Linked DNA regions of Oryctolagus cuniculus. The protein of the gene in region 3 interacts with the protein of the main gene of each other region in a biochemical or structural test. Links are inferred from orthologs where the notes say so. Each region holds a gene or a part of one and is shown on either strand. Other genes may lie near its edges.

Region 1 (4,102 bases), on a different chromosome or scaffold from region 3:
GGATGGCCCAAGTGCTTGGGCCCTGCACCCCACGGGAGACCAGGAGAGGCACCTGGCTTCGGATTAGCGCAGTGCACCGGCCGTGGTGCGCCGGCCACGGCAGCCATTGGAGGGTGAACCAATGGCAAAAAGGAAGACCTTTCTCTCTGTCTCTCTCTCTCTCTCACTGTCCACTCTGCCTGTCAAAAAAAAAAATAAATAAATAAATAAAAAATTTAACCACGAAGTCCTCCATAACCCCAGCACTGTATTTATCAAAAGCCAAACAATGTGCAGTATAGATTAACGGCAGGTTGTATCACCAACTTGCAATAATCTGTAATCTGGGCCCACGATTCAAATGTCAATTATATTTGTTTTATTTCAAAAGAGAAAATTACAGCAAGAGAAGTTAGCACTTCAACTGGAGACAGAGGTTGGATTAGTCTACAGCAGTGACAGAAACAGCTTCTAAATCGACATCACCCTCAGATTAAAGAAAAAAATCTCATCAGCTAAGGGAAAAAAATGCTTTCAACTGACATATCCTAAAGATTTTTTTTCAGTTCATATTTTATATAATTAAAGGGGGGAGGGGTGTCAAAGGGCATGACGGGCAATCCTGAGCCTCTCATGAGATAGTCACTGGTGTACTCACCAGCAGGCATGACAACAATAACACGTGTGACACAGAAGGGATACCAGGGGCAGTACTTTCTTTATTTTTTAAATTATTTTAATTTTTTGACAGGCAGAGTGGACAGTGAGAGAGAGAGACAGAGAGAAAGGTCTTCTTTTTGCCGTTGGTTCACCCTCCAATGGCCGGCGCGGCCGGCGCACCGCGCTGATCTGATGGCAGGAGCCAGGTGCTTCTCCTGGTCTCCCATGGGGTGCAGGGCCCAAGCACTTGGGCCATCCTCCACTGCACTCCCGGGCCACAGCAGAGAGTTGACCTGGAAGAGGGGCAACTGGGACAGAATCCGGTGCCCCGACCGGGACTAGAACCTGGGGTGCCGGTACCGCAGGTGGAGGATTAGCCTAGTGAGCCGTGGCGCCGGCCTCCAGTACTTTTTCAGAGCCTAATTTCTTTCAGGCCTGACCTAATTTCTCTTTTCACTTCTTAGCTGGGGTGGGGGTGGGGGTGGGGGTGGGGGTGGGGGGAAGTCATGCTAATTTTCACAGCTGTATACTGGGGAGCAATTCGCTCCTAAAGCAAACGAAAACATGCAGGATTCAATTATTCAAAAATAATTCCAACTACTTCTATCTAGTCAAGGTGATTGGTAAAGCAAGTGCTCCATGGCATTTCTGAAGTCATCATCACTCAGATTTGCATACGTTTCTTAAACAGACTCGCACACAGCAGTAAAAGAGGCTAAAAATCCCGAAATTATCACTGATGCTATTTTAAGGGACGCTGGGTGTACCACAAAGATCTCAGGCTTCAATCTCAAGACTGACACTTTCTTCTATGACCTTAGAAAATTGGCACCTAACAGAGGGATATTACCAGCTTTTCCTTTGGGGTGGGGTGGGGGGGCTGTTCAAATAAAATACGGATGTGGCACACAGTAAGGGGCACGAAGCAGTCCACAAATTAGTGCTCAGTTACTTCATTCATCAGGAAAAGACACACTCATGAGACTGAGAAGCAGGAGAATCTACTTCTGCACGAAGCGCCTCTTCCGAGGGAGCCTTGCGTGTGACTGTGCAAAAAAAGTCCCCGAAAGGCGGAATGTATACACTGACCGCTAAAATACCAACAGCAAAACCCTCGGTCCTCGGGCCAACACGACAGGATGCATCTATACTGGTTAGGAGCTCACCTGAGAGGAGGGAAGAGAGGGAGAGGAAAAAAAAAAAAAAAAAAAGAGCAAATTGGGCCCAACTGCAAGCAGATTTAATAAACCAAGAGGGATGCCGGCTGCTTATTCCTGAAACGCACGGTAACACATGCATGCCCGTTTAAACATTAAAAAAAAAAAAAAAACTGCAAGACGAATTCTTCATACAAGCCACACTGCCGACCTGGGTGCTTTTTCGGAAGGCCTGCTCAGGCGAGCACCAGCTAACGACCGCTGAGGGACAGACACTTCACGCACAGCCGGCCGCCGTTCCGCACACACGCAGGGTCCAACCGCGTCCAAGCCCAGGGCCATGCATCTGACGGCATTCCCGGCTTCGCGAGCACCCCGGGGCGCGACGGATGCTTCCGTTCCCCTCCTGGGCTGGGGATCGGGAATCTGGGCTTGCAATCTACATTTCTGAAATCTTGGGGGGTGGGGTGGAGGAGCCGGGCTGGAAACCCAGCGGCTATCCGGTGCAGGGCGTCCGCGGGTCCCGGCCTCCGCCCCCCTGCGGCGAGCGAGGGCCCGGCCCGGGACCGGCCACCGGCCACGAGCAGCGACATCTTAAACCTCGAGCCGGGGCCCTGCCCGAGGGAGCCCGGGACTGGGGTCGACCGCTGCGCGGGAGGCCGAGACGCGGGCGAGGCCGCGGCGCATCCGCTGCAGCCCCGGGCGGGGGAGCGGGCCAGGCCTGCGGGGCGGGCGCCGACACTCACCACACCATGCCGTAGGCGCCCTCGCCGATGTACGAGAGGTTGGTGTAGCGCGGCCCCACGTCGAACACCTGCCCGCGGACCATCTCCGGGCCCGTGCCCGCCGCCGCCGCCGCCGCCATGTTGGCTGCCGGGCCGCCGCCGCCGCGCTGGGCTCGACGCTCCGCGGCCGCCGCTCCGCTCCCGCCGCGCTTCCCCAAGGGACCGCGCCGCCGTCCGTGCAGCCGCCGCAGCTGACCGCCAAAGAGGCAGGACGGCGCCGCTTTCGGGGAAGCGGAGAGCCGACGTCCGCTCGCCTCGACTGCCCGTCTCACTTACTGACTGACGGGCGGGCCCGCGGGCGGAGGGAGGGGCGCGCGCCGAGCAGGGCGCCGGGGCGGGGCCGAGCAGCGTGCTCGAGGATTGGCTGCCTGCGGCTGGGGGCGGGGCCGCGCGGGCCGGCGGAAGCGGCGAGCTCAGGGCGGAGCGCTGCGGCGGCGGCGGCGGCGGCGGCGGCGGCTGCGGAGGAGGCGCCGAAGGGCGCGGTCACGTGCGTTCGCTGGTGAGTCGGCGCGGGAGGCGGCTGAGGAGACGCTGAGAGCGGAATGGGGAGACGGGGCGTCACGGGGCTGACCCTGAGGGGCCGGGGCTGGGGCCGGGCGGCGAGCTCGGGCAGTGCGGGGGAAGACGAACGACGCTGCACACGTGGGCTTCGGGCCCTCTGGGGCCCAAACGCTCTGAACAACTTAGGAGGTGTGGAGATTATGTTAGGAACCAGAATACGTGGTCCAGACCGAAGAAGAGATTTGAGTACTGAGAACGTGTGAGACAGGAGAGGCCGAGTGGGTCTGCCCTTAGATCCGCCCTCGTAGAAGATAACTTCCGGAGAGAGGTTTCTCAGGCTGAGGTACTTTCTATGGAGAAATGTCAAGCAGAGTAAGGGGCAGAGAGGAGTGGGTTGAGACACCTGAGGAAGACTCGAGTTGCCACTGTGAGACCGAGACCCATGTTAGGCCGGATGGACATGAGCTTTGAGACGTAGAACGTACTGAGCTGGAAACACCAGGGTGGAATCGCTAAAACCAATAGTCACAGACACATGAGAGGCTGAAAATTAAAAAACTGCAATCTTGAAGCAGACGGATGCCAAGGAAGCTCAGGCCACGCGGTGGAAGATGGGCCAGCCACCGCCTCGGAACCATTTCCTTGCCGTCTGCAGAGGGAAGTGAGAAGGCAGACTCCCCTCATAGCCTTCAGAGCTGCTAATTCGAGACGGCTGGAAATCAATAAAGATTAGCCAGTCAGTCTGGCGCGTTAAAAGCCCTGTGGGAGAGAAAAAAAATAGTGTTACATAAGGGGAAAAAAGTGCTACACCCAAAAGTGAGTTCAAATGTTAGTCCGTGAAGCAGAACCCAATTTTGAAAACACCTAATTCTTATTCTTGATTCTGAAAGGACATTGCATCTCTTTTTAAAAACAGGATGATGAGGCCGGCGCCGCGGCTCAGTAGGCTAATCCTCCACCTTGCGGCGCCGGCACACCGGGTTCTAGTCCCGGTCGGGGCGCCGGATTCTGTCCCGGTTG
Region 2 (3,500 bases), on a different chromosome or scaffold from region 3:
TATAACTTGTTACTTTTATATTAAAAATAAAACTAAATAATCATAAAAATGTAAAATAGTTTAGTATATAAAACACTAGTTTACAAAACTAAAATAACTGTAGAGGTTCAAACTGAGTTGAAAATAAACTATAGAAACTTGGAATTACATTATGAAGCATGATATTTGAGTTAAGAGTTTTTCTATAAGTGTTGGCATAACTATGTTATAATTAAATGAGGAGTTTGCTGGATCCATATTGTTTTTTGTTTTTCTTTTTTTTTGACAGGCAGAGTGGACAGTGAGAGAGAGAGACAGAGAGAAAGGTCTTCCTTTGCCGTTGGATCACCCTCCAATGGCCGCTGCGGCCAGCACACCGCGCTGATCCGAAGGCAGGAGCCAGGTGCTTCTCCTGGTCTCCCATGGGGTGCAGGGCCCAAGCACTTGGGCCATCCTCCACTGCACTCCCTGGCCACAGCAGAGAGCTGGCCTGAAGAGGGGCAACCGGGACAGAATCCGGCGCCCCGACCGGGACTAGAACCCGGTGTGCTGGCGCCGCTAGGTGGAGGATTAGCCTATTGAGCCGCCGCACCGGCCTTGAATCCCTATTGTTATTGCAAGTGTTTTTATAAGAAAGGATAACTTTTGGATAATATCTCAGTATTGTGAAGCCATAAATTCTAAAAGATCTCTATTTGAAGTATTAGGTCTTTTTCAAGCTGCATATAGGAAAAAGTTTATCTTAAAAAAAAAAAAAAAACAGATGTGGTAATAATTTAGTTCATTGCCATTAAGAGACCGTAGTGTCAACTGTAGTAGAAAATTCAATTATGTAATTTAAGCTACAAGAAAATAGAAACAAAGTTGCATATTTAAAACCCAGCAGGTAAAAGTTTAGAGGAGACAAAAAGATCCTAGAAAATAGTAGTACCACATTTTAGCTTTTCTGTCTTATTTTAGCCTAACTTAGCTATTTATTTAAATTTGTAAGTTAAATCTGTAGATAATTACACACTGAACATTTGCTTTTAAATTTCAAAGTATATATCCTCTTATTTTTAATAATTTGTAGATATATTGTTAAAATATTATATTACATATTATATTTAATAGGGATTGAGCGTTTGCCATCATCTAGGTATTATTCTAAGTGTTTGACAAGCTATTATGTCAATCAATCCTGTGAACAACCCTATATGGTAGGAACTGCATACCTTCATTTGTTAAAAGAAGTGAGGGTCAGGAAACTTGCCCAGAGTCCCACATATTTTAAGGAATAAAGGCATAATTTAAACCAGGCAGGGGAATAAAATATGATTCTTTCAAAATCATATTCTCAGGAGTATCTAAAGTATAAGAATTAGAATATTTCTGTATTATACTCCAGCTGCTGTTAAATTTATTCCTGGTCTGCAAATGAAACTGCAACATTCTTAGATCCATTTTGTGTGTGAAGGTGTGGATCAAGATTTGTTGTCCAATTAGATAACTGCTGACACAGTAGGAAAAAAATCACTAATAAAACTGTTTATATTGAATAAAAATGTACAGTTGAAATCTCAATTACTACTCTAAACTGAAAAAAATAGAGGGTAAGCACTATACAAAACACAACAAAAGAAAATCAGACATCTGCCTCTAAGGTTTCATAACTAATAACTATTTTGAAAATCTTTCCCAGATAATAAAAAGTAAGAACATTGATTTCAATATATATTGATCACATAGAGTTACACTTGAGATACTAAATTTAAGATTTTAAATACACCAGGAAATAGTTAACACACAGCACTGGGACATATTTTATTCTTATTTTTCCCTCTGAATATCCCAACAATTCTAAAGTTCTTGGCTACAACCCAACCCTTTGTAAGAAGATATTTTAGGAAATGACTCTCCCTAATGTGAGCATAGTTCTAGCTGAAGAAAAGTCTTCATATCAACAGGCTTGCTTAGCTGGTCACTCCCACAGCGGCCCTCTGCCACCCAGACCGGCATACCTTTGAGCTTATTGTGCTCGGAGTCTGCTGGGAAGAGGGAATCTGGAAAGAGCTTGGGGAAGGTGAGTCCCGCATACTTGGGCCGGTTCTCCACATAGTTTCTTACTGTAGGCTGCAATTTCTTCATGAATTCTGGACACGGCGTTCCTAGTTGCTCAATGACTTTGTTCCACTGGTCGATATCTGAGAATTGAATAGTTAAGGGAAAACAGAAGTGCAGACCACTAGCTCATGCTTTCCAATAATAAGAGGCTAACTCTTCAGAATCCTGGGCAGCCATCAGTACAATTGGGATTTTAATAAAGCAAAAAGAGACAAAACTGTGAAACAGAATTGTCAGGGCAATGCATCCTCCCTAGATTTCAAATTCTGTTTTCGAACTCAGAAGTTTTCAGGGAGCTAATATTATTTAACAAAACAGGATACCATGAAACAATCTTTGATTGGTAAAGCTAACATGTTATTTAAATAACACAAGAAGAATCTCTTACAAAAGGATAAACACCAATATAATCATGTGATTTAGAAAAAATATATAATCCCATGATAGTGACATTTTATCTCCTGAAGATACTTCAGTCACTTATACATTTAAAATGGCAAGTACACATCTATTAAAAATGATAATCATTTATTGTCTTCCTAGATTATTTTTGAGAATATTTTCTCTTCTCCAAAACCCAAGAAATTTATCATCTGTTAATGAGTTCTGCTCATATGCCTTACACATGGGGTCAATAAATTTTTTTTATAGTAAAAGAACTCATTAATTCTTCATCAAAGATTTAGAAATTTATACTATTCATACAAGGAAGTCACCATTGCATACCTACTGTTCTTACTTCTGAATATGTTTCCAATCACATATGAGGGTAGACAGAGAGGTGCTTCATTTAAGAGAGCGACTTCCACCCAAAGACATCCAAATTCAGAGAGTATGGTAACTATGAGGAATTCTATATGAAACATGCCAGCTCTCTGTGAAAAATTACACCCTCAAAAATTAGAGGGTAAATGTTGACAGACATACCCACTGATTGAGATTCTATTTTTTACGCCTCATTAATAGTTCATGTACCAGAGCATCGAAAATAAGAAACACTGCCCCTGAATACTTTGAAGGACCAGCTGGAAGCTATTGATTTTAGACAGATTACCTTGTCATGTATCATGAATGACAGAGACCTTGGAAATTCTTTTTAAATCAATATCACAAGGAGTGTTCTCTACTACATTTTTATTCTTTATGCTTTAACATTAAGCTGATTAATTTAATGCGATATATGATAGCTTCAGGACCCTTACCCTAAGATTACTAATTGTGGTTTGTAAAGTCTTTACTCATAGCTATTCGAGTGAGTTAGACTATAAAAGATTAGCAACCTTATTGAAAAGACAAAATTAACTACATTCAACAAAAACTAATATATAATGCAAAGACAGTATGTAGGAGATTGAGCAAACATAAAATCAAGTTAATTTGCAAATCCTCTTCTACCTCCATTATATGGGCTGAATAAA
Region 3 (2,816 bases):
TGCACCGGGCGGGCCGGGAAAGACGGGCCGGGAGGGGACCGGGAAGAGAGGGGCTAGAGGCGCGCGGAGGGGGAGGGGGAGAGGAGGAGAAAGAAGGGCCCAACTGTAGGAGGGCAGCGGAGCATTACCTCATCCCGTGAGCCTCCGCGGGCCCGAAGAAGAATCTTCTAGGGTGGGGTCTCCATGGCGACGGGCGGGCCCGCCCCCCAGAGAGCGACGCGAGCCAATGGGAAGGCCTTGGGGTGACATCATGGGCTATTTTTAGGGGTTGACTGGTAGCAGATAAGTGTTGCGCTCGGGCTGGATAAGGGCTCAGAGTTGCACTGAGTGTGGCTGAAGCGGCGAGGCGGGAGTGGAGGTGCGCGGATTGAGGGAGACAGACACACAGACACAGTCCGCCCGCCCCGCCAGGACGCCCGTAGAGTGCGATCCGCACGGCTGCGTTGCTTTGCCAACTGCCCCGCGCTAGCGCCTGTGGATCCCGGGCTGGTGTTTGGGGGGAGCACCTGGAGAGCTGCTGCTTCTCCAGCCGCCCCCGGGGAGGAGAGCCCCACCGCACGAGCGCAGCTGACAGCCGCGGAGAGCGGCGACTGCAGCGGCCAAGAACTTTCCGAGCCGGGAGGACCGGGGACAAGTGGCCCGGAGTCCCGGAGCGAACTTTTGCAAACCTTTCCTGCGCTATTTGGGCTTGCCGCGGCGGCAGCAAAGAAAAGCAAGGCGGCGGAGAGAGGAGCGAAGAGGAGCGACGCGCGCGCGGCTCCGCTCGCCCCGGCCTCTGAACTTGACCGGCGCGAGCCGCTGCCGCCGGGAGCCCCCTGCCCCTCGCAGCGGAAGAGGGCACAGTCTCCGGGAGTCCGGGCGGCCGAGACCCGCCGCCACTGCGGGGCACCGCGCCGCGCCGCCGGGGAGCCTCCGAAGGGCGCGCAGTGAGTGACCGCGACTTTTCAAAGGCGGGCAGGCGCGCGCGAGCGGCCGAGGAGTGCGGGCGAGCGTCTGAACCCCGCCGCTCCCGGGAGCGGGGGCCGGTGAGCGGGGCGCCCAGGGGGAAGACAGCCCGCGGGTGCGCGCGCGCTCCGAAACTTTTCCTTTGCCAGAGGCCCGGGGAGGCGCGGGGTGCTCCCCGCCCGCCAGCGCGCTGTCGCGGCCCCGAAACTTGTGCGCGCAGCCCAAAGTAAGCCCACGTGAAGTGACGGACTGTTCTATGAGTGCAAAGATGGAAACGACCTTCTACGACGATGCCCTCAACGCCTCGTTCCTGCAGACCGAGAGCGGCGCCTACGGCTACAGTAACCCCAAGATCCTGAAACAGAGCATGACCCTGAACCTGGCCGACCCGGTGGGCAGCCTGAAGCCGCACCTCCGCGCCAAGAACTCGGACCTCCTCACCTCTCCCGACGTGGGGCTGCTCAAGCTGGCGTCGCCCGAGCTGGAGCGCCTCATCATCCAGTCCAGCAACGGGCACATCACCACCACGCCGACCCCCACCCAGTTCCTGTGCCCCAAGAACGTGACCGACGAGCAGGAGGGCTTCGCCGAGGGCTTCGTGCGCGCCCTGGCCGAGCTGCACAGCCAGAACACGCTGCCCAGCGTCACGTCCGCGGCGCAGCCGGTCAGCGGGGCGGGCATGGTGGCTCCGGCCGTGGCCTCGGTGGCGGGCGGCGGCGGCGGCAGCGGCGGCTTCAGCGCCGGCCTGCACAGCGAGCCGCCTGTCTACGCCAACCTCAGCAACTTCAACCCGAGCGCGCTGAGCAGCGGCGGCGGGGCGCCCTCCTACGGCGCGGCCGGCCTGGCCTTTCCCGCGCAGCCCCAGCAGCAACAGCCGCCGCCGCCGCCGCAGCCGCCGCACCACCTGCCCCAGCAGATCCCCGTGCAGCACCCGCGGCTGCAGGCGCTCAAGGAGGAGCCGCAGACCGTGCCCGAGATGCCCGGCGAGACGCCGCCCCTGTCCCCCATTGACATGGAGTCCCAGGAGCGGATCAAGGCGGAGAGGAAGCGCATGAGGAACCGCATCGCCGCCTCCAAGTGCCGGAAAAGGAAGCTGGAGAGGATCGCTCGGCTGGAGGAAAAAGTGAAAACCTTGAAAGCGCAGAACTCGGAGCTGGCGTCCACGGCCAACATGCTCAGGGAACAGGTGGCACAGCTGAAACAGAAAGTCATGAACCACGTTAACAGCGGGTGCCAACTCATGCTAACGCAGCAGTTGCAAACGTTCTGAGGACAGACTGTCGAGGGCTGAGGGGCGACGAAGAAAAAGAAAACAAAACCAACAGAGAGACAGTCTTGCGAACTTGACCGGTTGCGACAGCGAGAAAAAAATAAAAAAGACGCGTCCGAGGACTAAGGCCAAGGGTATCCAAGCCGGGCTGGGTTGCGTCCTGACGGCGCCCCCAGTGTGCACGAGTGGGAAGGACTTGGCGCGCGCTCCCCTTGGCGCGGAGCCAGGGAGCGGCCGCCTGCGGGCGGCCCCGCTCGGCGGAAGGGCTGTCCCCGCGCCATCACGACGGTAGACTTTTCTTTAACATTGACCAAGAACTGCATGGACCTAACATTCGATCTCATTCAGTATTAAAGGGGGGGAGGGGCGGGGTGACAAACTGCCATAGAGACTGTAGATCGCTTCTGTAGTACTCCTTAAGAACCCGACCGGGAGGGCTGGGGAGGGGCGGCGGGGGGCGGGGAGGGAGCCGGGGAGGGCCAGGCTGAGCCTGCAGATACACTCTTTCTGGCCTGCCTTCGTTAACCGTGTATGTACAGATATCTATTTTTTAATTTGATGAAAGCTGATTACTGTCAATAAACAGCTTCATGCCTTTGTA
Region 4 (3,500 bases), on a different chromosome or scaffold from region 3:
GTCCACCCTCACAGGGGACAGGGTGCCCATCATGGGGGAGATGGATTCAGGGAGGAGACCCCTCCCCAGCCCACCCTACCCTGGGCAGAGCCAGCTCAGGCACCTCTCCAGGCCTCCACCCAGCACCAGGCGTCTGCAGGGTGCACTCCTCCTGTGCGTGCCCCACCCCCTCCCCACTGGGGCTGTGGGTGCTGCAGGACCTCTGCTGCTCGCTGCCCTGGGCTCCCCGGGGTCCCCCTGCCTGCTTGGCCGTGTGCCTCCTACAGAGACCCCAGCCGTCCTGGCTTCAGGCTGAGTCTCTCTCTCTCTCCATGTCTCTCTCCCTCTCTCTCTCCATCTCTCTCCATCTCTCCCCCTCCCTCTTCCTCTCTCTCCCTCCCTCTGCCTCTCCCTGTCCCTCTCTATCTCTCTTCCTTTCTCCCCTTTTCCATCTCTGTCTCTCTGTATCTGTCTTTCTCTCTCTCCATCTCTCTCTCTCTCTCTCTCTCTCTCTCTCTCTCTCTCTCTCTCTCCCCTCTCACTCTCAGCACTTGGGGTCTGGGATGAGGCAGGATCTGTGGGGTCTGTGTGGGGATTTTCCACCCAAGTGCTGTGAGGACCCAGAGCTGAGTGACAGTGACAGTGACCGTCACCCGGGACCCTGCCCCTGCAGTCCTGGAGGCGCCTGCGTGGTCTGCACCGCCCACCCTTCCCCACTCCTGCAGCAGCTGGGGGCGCTGGACACATGGGGGGCAGTGTGTCCATGCCCCGGGCTCCCCGGAGACACTCAGGGCAGGGGGGTGCTGTATCCCCAACCCACAGGCAGGATTTCTCCTGAGAGAAGCAGAGGTGGCCCTGAGCCGCCTGAGAAGGGACAGGGAATGGGGATGGGGTGAGCGCTGTGTCCCAGCCCCCAGGGAGCTCCTGGGGACCTCCTGCTGCTTCCCCCTGGCTCCCAGCCCCGCAGGCCGAGAGCCCCCAGGAGAGGAGGGAGGAGGGCTCCAGGCCAGATGCCCCCTCCCTCTGGGGCGTGCAGCAAGGAGGGCGGGGCCCCGGCTCTGCTGAGGGGGGAGCAGGCTGTTCTGGTGGATGATGGACGTCAGTCAGGGAGGGTCTGGCTGCCCCGGGGTCCCTGCACCTCACCAGTGGGGGACGGGGGGCATTAGGCTGCCCCCAGGGTCCCTGCATCTCACCATCGGGGGGCGGGGGGCGTCAGGCTACCCCTGGGGTCCCTGCATCTCACCATCGGGCGGCAGGGGGCGGCAGGCTGCCCCTGGGGTCCCTGTACCTCACCAGCGGGGGGCAGGGGGCGTCAGGCTGCCCCTGGGGTCCCTGTACCTCACCAGTGGGGGGCAGGGGGCGTCAGGCTGCCCCTGGGTCCCTGCACCTCACCAGCGGGGGCAGGGGGTGTCAGGCTGCCCCTGGAGTCCCTGTACCTCACCAGTGGAGGGCAGGGGTCGTCAGGCTGCCCCTGGGGTCCCTGCACCTCACCAGTGGGGGGCAGGGGGCGTCAGGCTGCCCCTGGGGTCCCTGTACCTCACCATTGGGGGGCAGGGGTCGTCAGGCTGCCCCGGGGTCCCTGCACCTCACCAGCGGGGGGCAGGGGGCGTCAGGCTGCCCCTGGGATCCCTGCACCTCACCAGAGAGGGGCTGGGGGACGTCAGGCTGCCCCTGGGGTCCCTGTACCTCACCATTGGGGGGCAGGGGGCGTCAGGCTGCCCCGGGGTCCCTGCACCTCACCAGCGGGGGGCAGGGGGCGTCAGGCTGCCCCTGGGGTCCCTGTACCTCACCATCGGGGGGTGGGGGGCGGGGGGCGTCAGGCTGCCCCTGGGGTCCCTGCACCTCAACAGCGGGGGGTGGGGGGCGGGGGGCGTCAGGCTGCCCCTGGGGTCCCTGCACCTCACCAGCAGGGGGCAGGGGGCGTCAGGCTGCCCCGGGGTCCCTGTACCTCACCATCGGGGGGTGGGGGGCGGGGGGCGTCAGGCTGCCCCTGGGGTCCCTGTACCTCACCAGTGGGGGGCAGGGGTCGTCAGGCTGCCCCTGGGGTCCCTGTACCTCACCATCGGGGGGTGGGGGGCGTCAGGCTGCCCTGGGGTCCCTGTACCTCACCAGTGGGGGGCAGGGGTCGTCAGGCTGCCCCTGGGGTCCCTGTACCTCACCAGTGGGGGGCAGGGGGCATCAGGCTGCCCCGGGGTCCCTGCACCTCACCATCGGGGGGTGGGGGGCGTCAGGCTGCCCTGGGGTCCCTGCACCTCACCGGGGGGCAGGGGGCATCAGGCTGCCCAGGGGTCCCTGCACCTCACTGGGGGGCAGGGGGCGTCAGGCTGCCCCTGGGGTCCCTGCACCTCACCAGCGGGGGGCAGGGGGCGTCAGGCTGCCCCGGGTCCCTGCACCTCACCAGGGGGCGGGGTTGGCGTGTTGGTTCACGTGGAGACTCCCCGCCTATTGAGACGTCAGTGACCCTGGTAGTTTGAAAACACTTTGTTCTTGAGAACAAATGATTTTTGGAGGTTTTTCAGCGGGGAGTGGGGGTAGGGGGAGAGTGAAGATGGGGGAGGGGCCCTGGGGGGCTGGGAAGCACAGGGGAAGCTCCTGGCTCCCGGCTTCGGCCTGCCCAGCCCTGGGCATTGCGGCCATCTGGGAAGTGAACCAGCAGATGGAAGACCTCTCTCTCTCCCTCTACTGCTCTGCCTTTCAGATAAATAAACCCTTAAAAATAAGTTTATTTTATAAAGGAAACATCAATTCCGCGAATTCCTTTTGTACGCATTCTCCGCGTCCTGCAGCTGGAGGCACAGGCCGCCGCAGCTTTACTCTCGTGTGCTGCTCTGGGCCCTGGCACCAGCGCCATGAACGCTGCGTCGGGAAAGCGTGAACCTGCACACCTACTATGACTCAAACTCTGGCACTTTTATCTAGGGGATTTTTTTTTTCATCTGAATGGCAGAGAGACAGGCAGACGGGGGGAGGATCTTCCGTCTGCTTCCAAAAGCCCTTAAACAGCCAGGGCTGCAAACTGCCCGGATACCCCCGTGGGGGGCAGGGACCCGATGACCTGAGCCTGCCCCTGCGACCTCCAAGGGTGCGCCTCAGCAGGAAGCTGGATGGGAGCGGAGTTGGGACTGGGACTCGGGCACTCGGATATGGGATGTAGGGGGTGAGGTGGGTCCCAACAGGTGCGCCAAACGCCAGTGGGGTCTGGCAGTTTGGGAAGAAGCCGGCGAGCCCTAACCCAGACGGTTCTCCCGCAGCATCTACTGCCGGGGCTGCCACAAGCCCCTGTGCTGCTCGTGTGCGCTCCTGGACAGCGGCCACAGCGACCTCAAGTGCGACCTGAGCGCCGAGGTGCTGCAGCGCCAGGACGAGCTGGACGCCACGGCGCGCGCGCTGCGGGAGCGCGGCGGCGCCTTCGGGGCTGCGCTCGCGCAGGTGCGCGCGGCCATCGGGCAGCTGGGCCGCGCGCGCGCCGACGCCGAGGACCTGATCCGCGAGCGCGTGCGCCAGGTGGTGGCACACGTGCA
Region 5 (4,241 bases), on a different chromosome or scaffold from region 3:
CAGCTCTCCAAAGCTCTAAGCCAAAAGCAAAAGTGATTCCCGGCAGCGAGGCACTGCTAAGTTCTGCCCTTGCAAAACAGTCAAAAAATCCTTCCCCAGTCTCCCGGAGCATGGTTCCCTTCCCCCGCCCCAGCAACCAGCCTCCCTTTTCACCGAAGTCTCAAGCTGCGAGTCTCCCTCATTCATTCGTCAAACATTGGCTCGGTCTGACCACACGTTATCCGGCGCCGGGTCTCACCCCGCGCTCCAGGAAGGGTGGGGCGCCCGCTCGCTGGAGCAGGTGCAACGAAGCGGGCTGTGCAGGACTTCTCGACCAGGCCGGCTTTTTTCGAGGGCTTGTTCAGGGCCAGATGCCTCACCTTCGGCAGGTGCGCGCGGGAGTCTGGCCCCCGGGCCTGGGCCTTCCCCCGGTTCCCAAAGGAGCAGTCCCCACCTGCCCCGAAGGAACCCGCTAGAGAGCGAGCTCTCCCCGCCGCCCTCGGGTCAGGGGTAAGCTCAGGCGGCAGCTCAGGCTCCGCTCGGCTCCTCCCCTTCCTCTCTTCAGTTCTGACGCGGCCGTAGAGGCGGCCGCGGTGGTGGCGGCGGCGGCAGCAGCGAGTACCGCGGCCCGAGGCGCACCCACCCGCTCCCGGCTCCCCGACTTCCTCTTCCCTTCGAGCGTCATCAGAGCGCGCCGGAGTCGCCCAGGGCGGGGTGGCTAGAAAGGGAAGAAAAAAAAAAAAAGGCCAGCGAGGAAGCCTCAGAGCGGAAAGGAAAGGGAGGGGGAGAGGAGAGCGGTTGCTAGGTGACTTGCGTCATCGGTCGGCGCCGCTCTCCTCCCGCCCCTCTCTCTGGAGTGAGGCGAGAGCCCCGCACAGAGCGAGGGAGACAGCGAGCAGAGCTCCGGCGCTACTGCGATCGCCGCCGAGAGAGTGAGAGCGAGGGAGCATCGGAGGACCCAGCCCCCGTGCCGTGGCCGCCGCCGAGAACCTCGGCCCCAACCTGGGCCAGCGAGAGCCGCGGCCGCCCTCCTCTCCCCCCCTCACCTTCCCGGCCGGCGGCGGCGGCTGCACACGCCGGAGCCGGAGCCGGAGCCCGAGCCGGAGCCGGCGGCTGGGGGGCAGGGAGACGGCTCCCGCGGCGGGCCGGGACTTGGGAGCTGCTCCGCCGTGAGAGGACCTTGAGCCGGGGGCCGGAGCTTTTGCCTCGTCCCGGGGCGAGGGGCGAGGGACCCCCGAGGTGTAGGGAGGGGGGTCCCAGCCGCAGCGACACATGCGGGAACCGGGAGCGGGGGCGGCGCCGAGCGGAGCCGGCCGGGTCCCCAGCCTCGCGGCCGTCTCGGCCACCCGCACGGGGCCGTAGCATCTTGCCCCGGAGTGTATGAGCCGGGAGGGCCCCGAGCTCAGCCACCACCCCCCGGCCGGGGGGGCGGGGACCCCAATGTGAAGCGGCGGCTGGGGCGGCGGGCAGAGCAGGACCGGCGCCGCCGTCCTCTCCTCACCCACCCCTTCCCCTTCGCCCCCTCCGGGGGGAGGGGGTCTTTTCCTTCGGCCTGTCGCCGGCCCCCCGGCTCCTCGGCCCGGACTCCGGGAGGAGTTCTTAGAGCCCCCTCCCCCGCCCCAGCCCCCAGGGCGGCGGGGCCGGGGGGGATCCGGGGGGCCGGCCGCAGCCTCCACCCAGAGGAAACTTTTATAAGAACAAATTCTGGAGCCTCCCAGACGTGACTGTCCCGGGACCAGTGGCCCTGGACGGGCAGAAATCACAGCCTGAAGAGACCCAGGAAGAGGAAAAGAGGTGATCGGGGCCGCCGCCTCCTCTCCCCCCACCCCGGCGGCGCGGAAGAGACCCGGGTGGCCGCCTGCTTGGGCGACACGAGCAGCGATCGCTTCTTCCTCTGTAGCGAGCGCGCCGGAGCCTGCCGCAGTCCGGAGCAGGAAGGGAACCAGCCCGCTCTCTCAGCGCCACGGCTCTTCTCTAAAGTGTGAGTGGTCCTTCCGGAGAGGGGCCGAGGGGGGGGCCGGGGGCGGGAGGATGCCGCAGAGGTTTGTGCAGATGTTTTCCAGCGGCGCGGGGAGTGTGTGTGCGCCCCTTCTTCGCACAGGACGGCTCTGGGGTTTGTTGCCGTTGAGCTTGGACGAGCAATGCCAAGCGTGCAGGTTTCTCCAAGGAGGAGTTAGTTGTGTTCTCTTCCGGAGTGGGAAAGATTGCACCTCTCCGGGCAGGAGTTGGCAGAAGGGAAGTCGAGGAAGGCAGAGCAGGCGTGCACACAAAGGACATCGCTGTGCTCGCCCTTTTCCTGGTGGCAGGGACTGTGGGATGGCGCCGGAGGAGTTTTGTGTAGGGGAGGACCTCTCCCGTGGGTTCCCCCGTGCACCTCTGAAAGTCCAGTTCCTTGATTTGTTCGCAGGCTACCTCGAGGGGAAGCCCGGGTTTCATTTCCATACCTCTCAGTACAGAAGTTTTTAACCTTCTCTTTTCCTGCGTCCAGTTCCTCTGCATGTCAGGAGGACACTTTAACAGATCGCAGTTACTGGGGAAATTCTGGCTTCTTAGGAATCACAGCTTATTTGAGGCAGAGCATTTACTGCATAAACCATTTTATATAGGTTGTTACTCTTCCACCCAAATCCCACATGTGCCCTCTGTCTCTCTCTCTCTCTCTTTTTTGAGTAACAGGTTATAAATGACAGCACTGTTTTATTGGGAGAATGGGTTGAGACTTTGTTGTTTGATTTAGCTTTACTTTAACGATTTAGGAGGAACCTATGAAGCCATAATTCTTACAAGAATGGCTTTTCCTTGCATTATTTTAAAGTTGAAGTCTCTCAAATCTTTGACTCGATTTCAAATGTCCCCTCAGCGTGCCAAGTTAGAGGTACACAGAAGTAGTTAGCATTTCATGTATACAGACCTGGAGGGTTAGGCATCAGGGGGGAATTTTAGGTAACTAGACCCAGACAGTTCTATAGTGAGAGTTATGGTGCCTCCAGACCAGTAGCTGTGGATGGCCTTTCTGAAGTCATTGCTGAGAGATGCTTTGTGGGAATGAATGTATGCCCGGGGTTATCCACCCTAAATTCTCCACTCAGGATCCCGATGAAATTTTTAAAAAAACCTTTTCAGACTTAATGTTTTGACTCTGTACCACTTCTTTTTTAAAGTAATAAGTTCTGCAGATTTATTAGCCTCTGTCTGATGTAAGAATTCATGCATGTATCCCAAACTTACCTCCTTAGGCTAAAAGATGCATCACTTAAGAGCTTGCGTTTTGAGAAATACTAGAATAACCCCAGGTTTCTTGCCTGGTTATTCTTGTTTGCCATCATTTCCCCCCAGCTTTCTGTCTGAGAACTGTTTCTTCCATTTCTTTGACCACTGCCCTTCTCTGGACCTTCTCCAAGCATTTGTTTTTCTGTAGGTGCCTTGTTCTCATTACGCTTTTGTAAGGAACCTTGAAGTCTGTTCTAAGTGGGTACCGACATAAAACGTTGCATAGTGGATTGAATATTAGATTTAGAAGCAGCCAGGTATCTCTGGATGTGTCATCTTTTGTGACTTCGAGTAAGTCACCTTTTCTGTTTCTCACAGATGGACCAGAGAAAAAGCTGGTCTTACATAGACAGCTTTTTGGGAAGGAGAGAGGACAAACCAACAAAGCAAAGTTTGTGGATAATGCCGAGTTTAGGACCTATTTTGATTGCTTTCACTATAGATAAGTTAAGAATGATGGTAATATTTTAATATGTATTTGGGTAGAAATGAGGAAGTATTGGGGGTCTCTGCCTTTGAAGCACTTTTACTTAGGGGTGGAAGAGACAGTTATACAAATGGAACAAGACTACAGGAGAACAGGCCGGTATTAATCTGAGACCACCACGTGTGCCATTGCATTATCCAGTTCTTGCTAACAAGCAGGCTGCTTTTTAAAGGAGAGACTTATTTTGGCTCACAGCTCTGGAGGTGCTAGGTCTGGGGGCTCCTCTGATGGTGGCTTTCTTGTTGGCAGAGCATGCTGCTGCCAGAGGCGGCAGTGAGCACAGCTGTTTGTATTTCACTCCCAGGGTTTACCCTCTGTAGCATAGTTGAATCAAGTTCCCACCCTCTTAGTATTGCTGCCATATGATTTTGGGGGTTAAACTTCTACATGAAATCTCCCCTCCCACCTTGGGGGTGGGAATGGGGTGCTGGTGGTGTTTGATACCTGATAGGAAGTGAATGTAATTTTTTTTTGTTAGGGAAATGTTGGTTTCAGAGCAACTTGG
Region 6 (3,972 bases), on a different chromosome or scaffold from region 3:
TAAGGTGGTGGCTCCACTAAGTTCTTTGCTGACTTTGTGCCTTTGCACTTCCTGCTTGGCTTCTTCATTGACAGAACCTAACGGAGAAGTGGAGTGCAAGCCTTCTGCCTTCCTTTTGCTCTGTGATTTTGGTCAAATTAATTAACTTCTCCAAGCCTGCGTCTCCCTTCACAACGTGAAAGGCTAACACCAGGCGGTATACCTTAGAAAGTTCGTGGAAAAACGGAATTAACAGCCAAGTTTATTTGGGCGTGAACACTTTTGAAACCCATGCCTAGTTTTTGAGAATGTGTATTTTCGACGAACTTTTTGAAGATCCCCAATACGCACGGATTTCAAAACGTTTTTGGCACACGAATAAATCCCTCTTTTAATGTCATTTTCATGAACTTTCTTAAGTGCACTTGTACCCTTTCCCCGCCCTCCTTTTAAAGGGCCATTTCGGAGGATTCCAGATAATTACAGAAGGTGCTCCACACAGTCTGTGGTACACAGCAAGCGCTCCTTAAATAATGGGTTGGCCTAGGAAACTTCTATTCAATTGCCACTGCCCCTCCAAAAACCTCCCTTTGACGTCTGGATGGTGCCGCCTCTTTTTACATCACCATTAAGACCTTCTATAAGCTAGGGTCTGTTCATGGCCACAGCCGCGGCCTCTCCACCCAGCGATCCCCCCAAAAAGGGCAGCTATTGTCTTGCACTGCCCAAGCGCCAGAAGCCAGCAGAGTTCCACACCTACGCGGTGCTCCCCATTTGTTGTTGTTTGGCCAAAGATGCGAGGCTAAACCGAGCGGGCGGGAGGAGAGAGGCGGGGAGGGACGGCGCCGCCCACGGAGGAGGAGGAGGAGGAGGGTGAGGGTGAGGAGAGGGAGAGGGAGAGGGGCGTGCCCGCCCAGGGTGCCCTCGCCCAGCGCTCCCCGCCCAGACCCAGAGATAGCGACGCGGCCCCCGTGTCACCCACCGGGTTCTTTGTAAAGCCGCGACACCGGCCCACCGGGGGGCAGTTTCGGAGAAAACCACGTTCGGGCAGCACCCAGGGCTCCCAGCGGGGTGCCTGGACCCGCGCCGGCCTTCCCGCGCGACCTCGCGCCCCGGCCCGCGCACCGCCTGGCGCCCCGGTTCCCCCCAGACGCCGGCGGGCCCGAGAGCCTCGCGGACGTGACGCCGCGGGCGGAAGTGACGTTTTCCCGCGGTTGGACGCGGCGCTCGGTTGCCGGGCGGGGGAGGGCGCGTCCGGTTTTTCTCAGGGGACGTTCAAATTATTTTTGTAACGGGAGTCGGGAGGGGACGGGGCGTGCCCCGAGGTGCGCGCGCGCCGTCAGTTTTCGGCGCTCCTCCTCAGCTCGCTGCTCCTGCCTTGAGAAGGCGTCATGCCGCCCAAAACCCCGAGAAGAGCAGCTGCCGCCGCCGCCGCCGCGGTGGAACCCCCGGCGCCGCCGCCGCCGCCGCCTCCTGAGGAGGACGCGGAACAGGACAGTGGTCCTGAGGACTTGCCTCTGGCCAGGTGAGCGGGCACCGCCGCCGCTGCGGCCGGCACGCGAGGAGGGAGTCCCGGGGGTGCGGCGGGCGGGCGGGCGGGAGCCGCGGCGGCTGGGCGCGGGCGCATCCTCGCCGGGGTCGGTCCCGGCGGCGGGATGGTCCGAGGGTCCCTCCCTGCCTCCTCCACGGCAGCGGAGCGTCTGCGGGGCGGTGACAGAGATCCGGGATCGTGAGCGACGGGGAGAGGGCTGCTGGAGGGGTCTCGGCTCCAGCTTGACAGGTGTCGGGCGGGTGGGGCTCGGGTCCCTGAGCGAAGTGACAGGTGCAGTCTCCTCTAGCGAGACAGCGGCTCGCAGCCGACGGCTGATTACCAGCCCTCATGCAGCGAAAAAAAAATTCTTTTTTAAAGTACAAAAATGGTACGTGTGTTGGCGAGTTTTTCTCCAGTGGAGATCTGGAGTCCTCGGTGGTCGCCTGACTTTCTGTTTCGATCCCCTGCGACGCAACAGTTGGAAGTTGTTTTTTTTGTTTTTTTTTTTTTTTTTTCTTCTTTCCTCTGGGCGTGCGCTACCTCCGAAGCTCAGAACTGGGAGAGGCCCGGGAAGGCCTTGGACGTGAAGGGCAGGGTGTTAGGTGTGAATTGCCCACGGGCTACACGGCCGCGAGGCGTTGTGGGGTTCCCTAAAACAATGTGTGGAGGCCTCGAGGATTTAAAGCCGGCTGTAGACACTGGTGGAGCCTAACTTTCTTTACACGAACTGGCCTCTGGGCTAAAGTTTCGTTGAGACATTTAGTGAAGCGCTTGAAAGTTACCAAACTTTCCATTTTCTTTTTCTTCTTCTTCTTCTTTTTTTTTTTCTTCTGATGGAAGAACTCGCTTGCGTGTTTGCGAGGCCTCCGCATGCCTCGTTATTACATTTTGCCTTTCACTTTGAGCCAGCAGGGATGCTTGGTGTCCCCTCTTTTTGGTTTTGTTTGGGTTTGGTATGAAATTAATGGTGTTCTTCTGCTCACCTGGAACTCCGCTGTCACCCCTTCACCCCTTAGCGAGTGGAATCTCTACGTTTAAGCAAGTCCTCATGGACGCAGTGCTACGTGACAGAAAGATGCTTATTGTATTGCAACATCTTGATCGTGAGGCTTTACAGTGAAGTTGCTAGTACAGAACGGGCAGAGTTAGGATTATTGTCAGTGCTTGTTCTAGCCATTGCCCGGGAATGCCGCTGGTTTTCCAGTGGCACTCCCTCCCCAGCTCTAGTCTATCACCAAGTCTTGTTTTTGTGCCCCCTGAATAGTATCTTTCCTTCCACTCCATGGAATCTTAGCTGAATTCAGACAGAATTGTAAAACATCGAAATAGAATTTTGGAAATGGACTCTGGAAAGCTATTAAAAATTAACATATTTAAATGGACTATCTTACAACGTGTCAGTTCAAAATAATACTCACTAGTGAAAACAAAAACAAAGCCAGGTCTGAGGGATATGCTGGGAGAAGATATCACTTTAGTTTTTGATTAAATGCCATTGTACTTGTCCATGAAAAGAGCAGTAATGTATGCCTGTTCTAAAGAAGCACTTTCAATTATTGTATGGTAACAAGAAATGAAGTTCTGGCCGTCCCCTGGGAGAAGAAGGCTTTTGTTTCTTTCATTTTTCATCCAGCACAGTATACAGGCAGACCTCGGAGAAATGGCAGATTCCATGCCAGACCACTGCAATAAAGTGAATATCGCAATAAAGCGAGTAACACGAAGTTTTTGGTTTCTTTATGCATTTAAACTTATTTTTGTACTATACTATAGTCTCTCAAGTGTGCATTAGCACTGTGTCTCAAAGCACAATGTACATTCGTTAATTTAAAAATATTTTATTACGAAAAATTGCTAGCAACCACCCAAGCTGTTGAAAAAATGATGCTGATAGACTTGCTATGTGCAAGGTTCCCAAAACCTTCTATTAAAAAAAAAATGCAGTATCTGTAATGTGCAGTAAAGCAAAATACAAGAAAATGAAATATGCTTGTATTCTTAAATGATGGAATTATAAAAAATTTTCCTACAAGTCAAGGATATACAAGATATCATTTTGTTCTTGATTATTCATACCCATAAAGATTTTCATTAACATAGACCCCCTAACTATAGATTCACTACAGCCATGTACCACTTAACAGAAGGGTCGTGTTCTGAGAAATGCACTGTTAGATGATGTCGTCATTGTGTGAATATCATAGAATGTACTTAACATAAACCTTGATTATCTTGCTCAATCACCCCAAATGGCCTCTTGATGCATCAAGATGTGATAAATGTAAAATATATGTGACTGTTGCAAGTGTAACACAATATACTGTTTTATAGTAAACTTTTGTTTTTATAAGTAGAAGGAATATCTAAAATAACAACACAAAAGCATAGTCTAGTAAATCCCTAAACCAGTAGTATAGTCTTTTATAATTATTAAATATTCTTTTATATAAATACCTATGAAT
Region 7 (3,500 bases), on a different chromosome or scaffold from region 3:
TTTTGTATTCAAGGTATCAGTATTACTTGGCCTTTTGTTATTGAAGTTTTTGATATAGGAAAGATGGCCTAAGATTAGTTAATAGTTTAACATTTCCATTGTTGAATTTGTATTAATCATAGCGAAATTTCTCTGGACCTGTTTTCTTTTTGTACAGTAAAATGAGGAAGTAGACTTAGGTGTTCCCTTATAGATTTTAAAGTTTTCTAATTCTTGAGAGTGGATCGTGTTTTTACTTTTTTACTAAAATTCTCTTGGAATTATAGCCAAATTGTCCAACCTGACTTACTTCTGAATTGACATGAAAATAAGTTTTACTGAAAAAAACGCTGAGGTTTTTAAAAATTAATTGAACATTGCCTGTGAACCTTTACAACTACTTCTAAAATTTCTTTTTAGTTCACTTGAGATACTAATTTGAGAGGTTAAGCATTACCCTATGAATGTGTTTGCAAGTGTGTTATGTTCTGTTCACTAAGGTACATGCATTAATTGCATTTTAAATTCTACGCTTTTTGTTATGTCTTTATTAAATAGGAGGTACCATTGGCACAAACTGCACAGCCCACATCAGCTATTGTTCGTCCAGCATCATTACAGGTTCCCAATGTGCTGCTTACAAGTTCTGATTCAAGTGTAATTATTCAGCAGGCAGTACCTTCACCAACCTCAAGTACTGTAATCACCCAGGCACCATCCTCCAATAGGCCAATTGTGTAAGTGATTAAGCCCAGTCATTGAACTGTGTATGAATTAAGTTTTTCTTGTTACGATTTTTCCTAAGATAGCTGATTTAAGATGATTTTTTATATTTTCATGCTCTTTAAGGCAAAACATATAAAATTATTCTATTACCAGATGACACTTCTTTCAGTTCTTAAATGCAGCTAGTTCTCAGGGCCCACCAGCATTGTGATATAGCAGGTTAAACTGCCACTTAGGATGCCAGCATCCCGTATTACAGTTTGAGTCCCAAATACTCCACTTCCCATCCAGCTTTGTTGCCTAGGAAGGCAACAAAAGATGGCCCAAGTGCTTGGGCCCCTGCCACCCATGTGGGAGTATCTGGATGGCATTCCTGACTCCGGCTTTGGCCTAGCCCAGCCCTGGCTGCTGTGGCCATTTGGAGAGTTAGCCGATGGATAATGGTCTGGGGACTGGCATTGTACCCTCGCAGATAAAGCTGCTGCCTGTAGCACCAGCATCCCATATAGGTGCCAGTTAAAGTTCTGGCTGCTTCACTTCCAGTCTAGCTCCCTGCTAATGGCCTGAGAAAGCAGTGGGAAGATGGCCCAAATCCTTGGACCCCTGCACCCATGTGAGAGACCTGGAGGAAGCTTCTGGCTCCTGGATTTGGTCTTGCCCAGCTATGGCTGTTGTGGCCATCTGGGTGGAGAGTAGGCCAGCAGATGGAAAATCTCTGTCTCTCCCTGACTCTCTGCGTAACTCTTTCAAATAAAATAAATCTTTAAAAAACATATTTAAAGATAATTTTATTTCTGAAGTTTACAGTGCTTAAGAAATTTATTAATATTGTAATAATAGAAGTAAAAATACTATTGTATTTTTAAGTGATGGTTTCTTTGAATCTGTTTAATTTCATTTCTTTTGTTCTTCATAGTCCTGTGCCAGGCCCATTTCCTCTTCTATTGCATCTTCCGAATGGACAAACCATGCCTGTTGCTATTCCTGCATCAATTACAAGTTCTAATGTACATGTTCCAGCTGCAGTCCCAGTAAGTTACAAATTTAGACTATAGTAGATCTGGTCTGTATAAAGTAATCAGAAAATAGAGTTGAAGCTGCTGGACTGACTTATGAAAACTGAATTTAAGAAAGTACATAATAGTGGTAAGTAGTGTTTATTCATTGATATTTATGGTAATAACATCTACCATTCAGTGCAAACATAATTAAATAAACTATTTTCCTCTCCCAACAATCTTGTTTTCCTTACTTTTTACACTATGAACTTTATTCCTTATTTACCCCATTTCTATTTGACTGAATTTGTAAAATTCAAATAGTACTAGAACACTTGTCAGGTAACTTTGGTATTTCAGTTAATTTAGAAATTCTTTATAAAAACACAATCTTTGATCTTTGATGGTCAAGTTCAGTTAACAGATTTACTTTGATGGCCCATGCATTCTTAAGAACATTCTGAACATTTGCGGTACAGACGTTTGCAGTGGTTAAGATGCCAGAATGAATGTATTCAGGCCCCACTCCATTTCTAATAGCTTTCTGTTAATGTTCACTCTGAGAGGCAGCAGATGATGGCTCAAGTACTTGGGTCCCTGTCACCCATGTGGAAGACCCAAATAGAGTACTTAGGCTCCTGGCTTTGGTCTGGCCCAGAGCTGGCTGTTGTGTGCATTTGGTGATGAACCATCAAGATGAAAGATCTGTTTCTGTTTTTCTGTCACTCTGCCTTTAAAATAAATAAAACAAATAAATTTTAGCATTCTAAAGTAATAAGTCTCCCATTTTCTTAATGAGAAGATCCAAAAGAAAAGTTTTGTAAGGGCAAGTCAAATATATATAAAATTTGAAAGACATAGACAATTAAATATCTAGTTATTGTATTTTTTTGTTTTTAGATTTTATTTTTTTATTTGAGAGGTAGAGTTACAGTGAGAAGGAGAGACAGAAAGGTCTTTCTTGTGCCAGTTCACTCCCTAAATGGCATCAATGGCCGGAGCTGCATCGATCCGAAGCCAGGAGCCAGGAGCTTCTTCTGAATCTCCCACATGGGTGCAAGGGCCCAAGGATTTGGACCATCTTCCACTGCTATCCCAGGCCATAGCAGAAAACTGGATTGAAAGAGGAACAGCCGGGACTAGAACCAGCACTCATATGGGATGCCTGTGCTGCAGGCAGAAGATTAACCTACTGTGCCACAGTGCCAACCCCTAGTTATAGTACTTAGTAGATTATAAAATATTTAAAAACACATTGTTTAGGACAGGCATTTGGCTTAGTAGTTAAGGTACCACTTGAGATGCCTACATACAGAATCAGAGTAACTAGGTTCAAGTCCCAGCTCTGCTGCCAATTCCAGCTTCCTGATGATGCACATTCTGGGAGGCAGCAGGTGATGGTTCAACTAGTTGGGTCCCTGCAACCCATATGGGAGCCCAGTGGAGTTCCTGGCTCCTGACTTTAGCCTGGCCCAATCTTGGTTATGGCAGGCATTTGAAGAGTGAACCAGAGGATGACAGATCTCTCTGTCTCCTTCCCTCTCTCTCTGACTTCTGCCTTTCAAATAAATAAATAAATAACATTGGTTAGAATAATAAAAATGAGAAATATGCCTTTTTTCCCAACTTTCACATGTGAATTCATGAAAACAGTTTTATTCAAACTTTTCAAAGGTGTCTTTCAGCATTTCAGATTTTCATCTGAGAACCGCTTTTTGACCCATCTAGCACAGTTTTCCAGAACACAGTTTACTTCTTCATCTAAATTATTTATGACATGACAGCTTTTAATCTTTG

What was found.
Region 1: of the proteins of JUN (region 3) and MAPK1, one has a biochemical effect on the other in vitro, tested with the Homo sapiens proteins (2 studies listed by BioGRID, with this or other methods). The link is inferred for Oryctolagus cuniculus from reciprocal best matches to the Homo sapiens genes JUN and MAPK1.
Region 2: of the proteins of JUN (region 3) and MAPK10, one has a biochemical effect on the other in vitro, tested with the Homo sapiens proteins (7 studies listed by BioGRID and IntAct, with this or other methods). The link is inferred for Oryctolagus cuniculus from reciprocal best matches to the Homo sapiens genes JUN and MAPK10.
Region 4: the proteins of JUN (region 3) and PML form a complex in vitro, tested with the Homo sapiens proteins (2 studies listed by BioGRID). The link is inferred for Oryctolagus cuniculus from reciprocal best matches to the Homo sapiens genes JUN and PML.
Region 5: the proteins of JUN (region 3) and FBXW7 form a complex in vitro, tested with the Homo sapiens proteins (3 studies listed by BioGRID, with this or other methods). The link is inferred for Oryctolagus cuniculus from reciprocal best matches to the Homo sapiens genes JUN and FBXW7.
Region 6: the proteins of JUN (region 3) and RB1 form a complex in vitro, tested with the Homo sapiens proteins (2 studies listed by BioGRID). The link is inferred for Oryctolagus cuniculus from reciprocal best matches to the Homo sapiens genes JUN and RB1.
Region 7: the proteins of JUN (region 3) and ATF2 form a complex in vitro, tested with the Homo sapiens proteins (4 studies listed by BioGRID and IntAct, with this or other methods). The link is inferred for Oryctolagus cuniculus from reciprocal best matches to the Homo sapiens genes JUN and ATF2.

The regions. Positions count from the first base shown.
Region 1 is NC_091452.1:28,976,450-28,980,551, reverse strand, and holds the start of MAPK1 (mitogen-activated protein kinase 1), read right to left. Parts: upstream 2,801-4,102; 5' UTR 2,662-2,800; coding exon 2,543-2,661; intron 1-2,542. UniProt on the Homo sapiens protein: Serine/threonine kinase which acts as an essential component of the MAP kinase signal transduction pathway. MAPK1/ERK2 and MAPK3/ERK1 are the 2 MAPKs which play an important role in the MAPK/ERK cascade.
Region 2 is NC_091439.1:81,338,318-81,341,817, forward strand, and holds part of MAPK10 (mitogen-activated protein kinase 10), read right to left. Parts: intron 2,163-3,500; coding exon 1,980-2,162; intron 1-1,979. UniProt on the Homo sapiens protein: Serine/threonine-protein kinase involved in various processes such as neuronal proliferation, differentiation, migration and programmed cell death.
Region 3 is NC_091438.1:114,258,805-114,261,620, forward strand, and holds JUN (transcription factor Jun), read left to right. Parts: upstream 1-1,201; coding exon 1,202-2,215; 3' UTR 2,216-2,316; downstream 2,317-2,816. UniProt on the Homo sapiens protein: Transcription factor that recognizes and binds to the AP-1 consensus motif 5'-TGA[GC]TCA-3'.
Region 4 is NC_091443.1:109,465,573-109,469,072, reverse strand, and holds part of PML (protein PML), read left to right. Parts: intron 1-3,230; coding exon 3,231-3,500.
Region 5 is NC_091439.1:11,998,755-12,002,995, forward strand, and holds the start of FBXW7 (F-box/WD repeat-containing protein 7), read left to right. Parts: upstream 1-1,441; 5' UTR 1,442-1,960; intron 1,961-4,241. UniProt on the Homo sapiens protein: Substrate recognition component of a SCF (SKP1-CUL1-F-box protein) E3 ubiquitin-protein ligase complex which mediates the ubiquitination and subsequent proteasomal degradation of target proteins.
Region 6 is NC_091440.1:67,325,201-67,329,172, forward strand, and holds the start of RB1 (retinoblastoma-associated protein), read left to right. Parts: upstream 1-1,172; 5' UTR 1,173-1,370; coding exon 1,371-1,504; intron 1,505-3,972. UniProt on the Homo sapiens protein: Tumor suppressor that is a key regulator of the G1/S transition of the cell cycle. The hypophosphorylated form binds transcription regulators of the E2F family, preventing transcription of E2F-responsive genes.
Region 7 is NC_091434.1:66,033,607-66,037,106, forward strand, and holds part of ATF2 (cyclic AMP-dependent transcription factor ATF-2), read left to right. Parts: intron 1-537; coding exon 538-716; intron 717-1,621; coding exon 1,622-1,736; intron 1,737-3,500. UniProt on the Homo sapiens protein: Transcriptional activator which regulates the transcription of various genes, including those involved in anti-apoptosis, cell growth, and DNA damage response.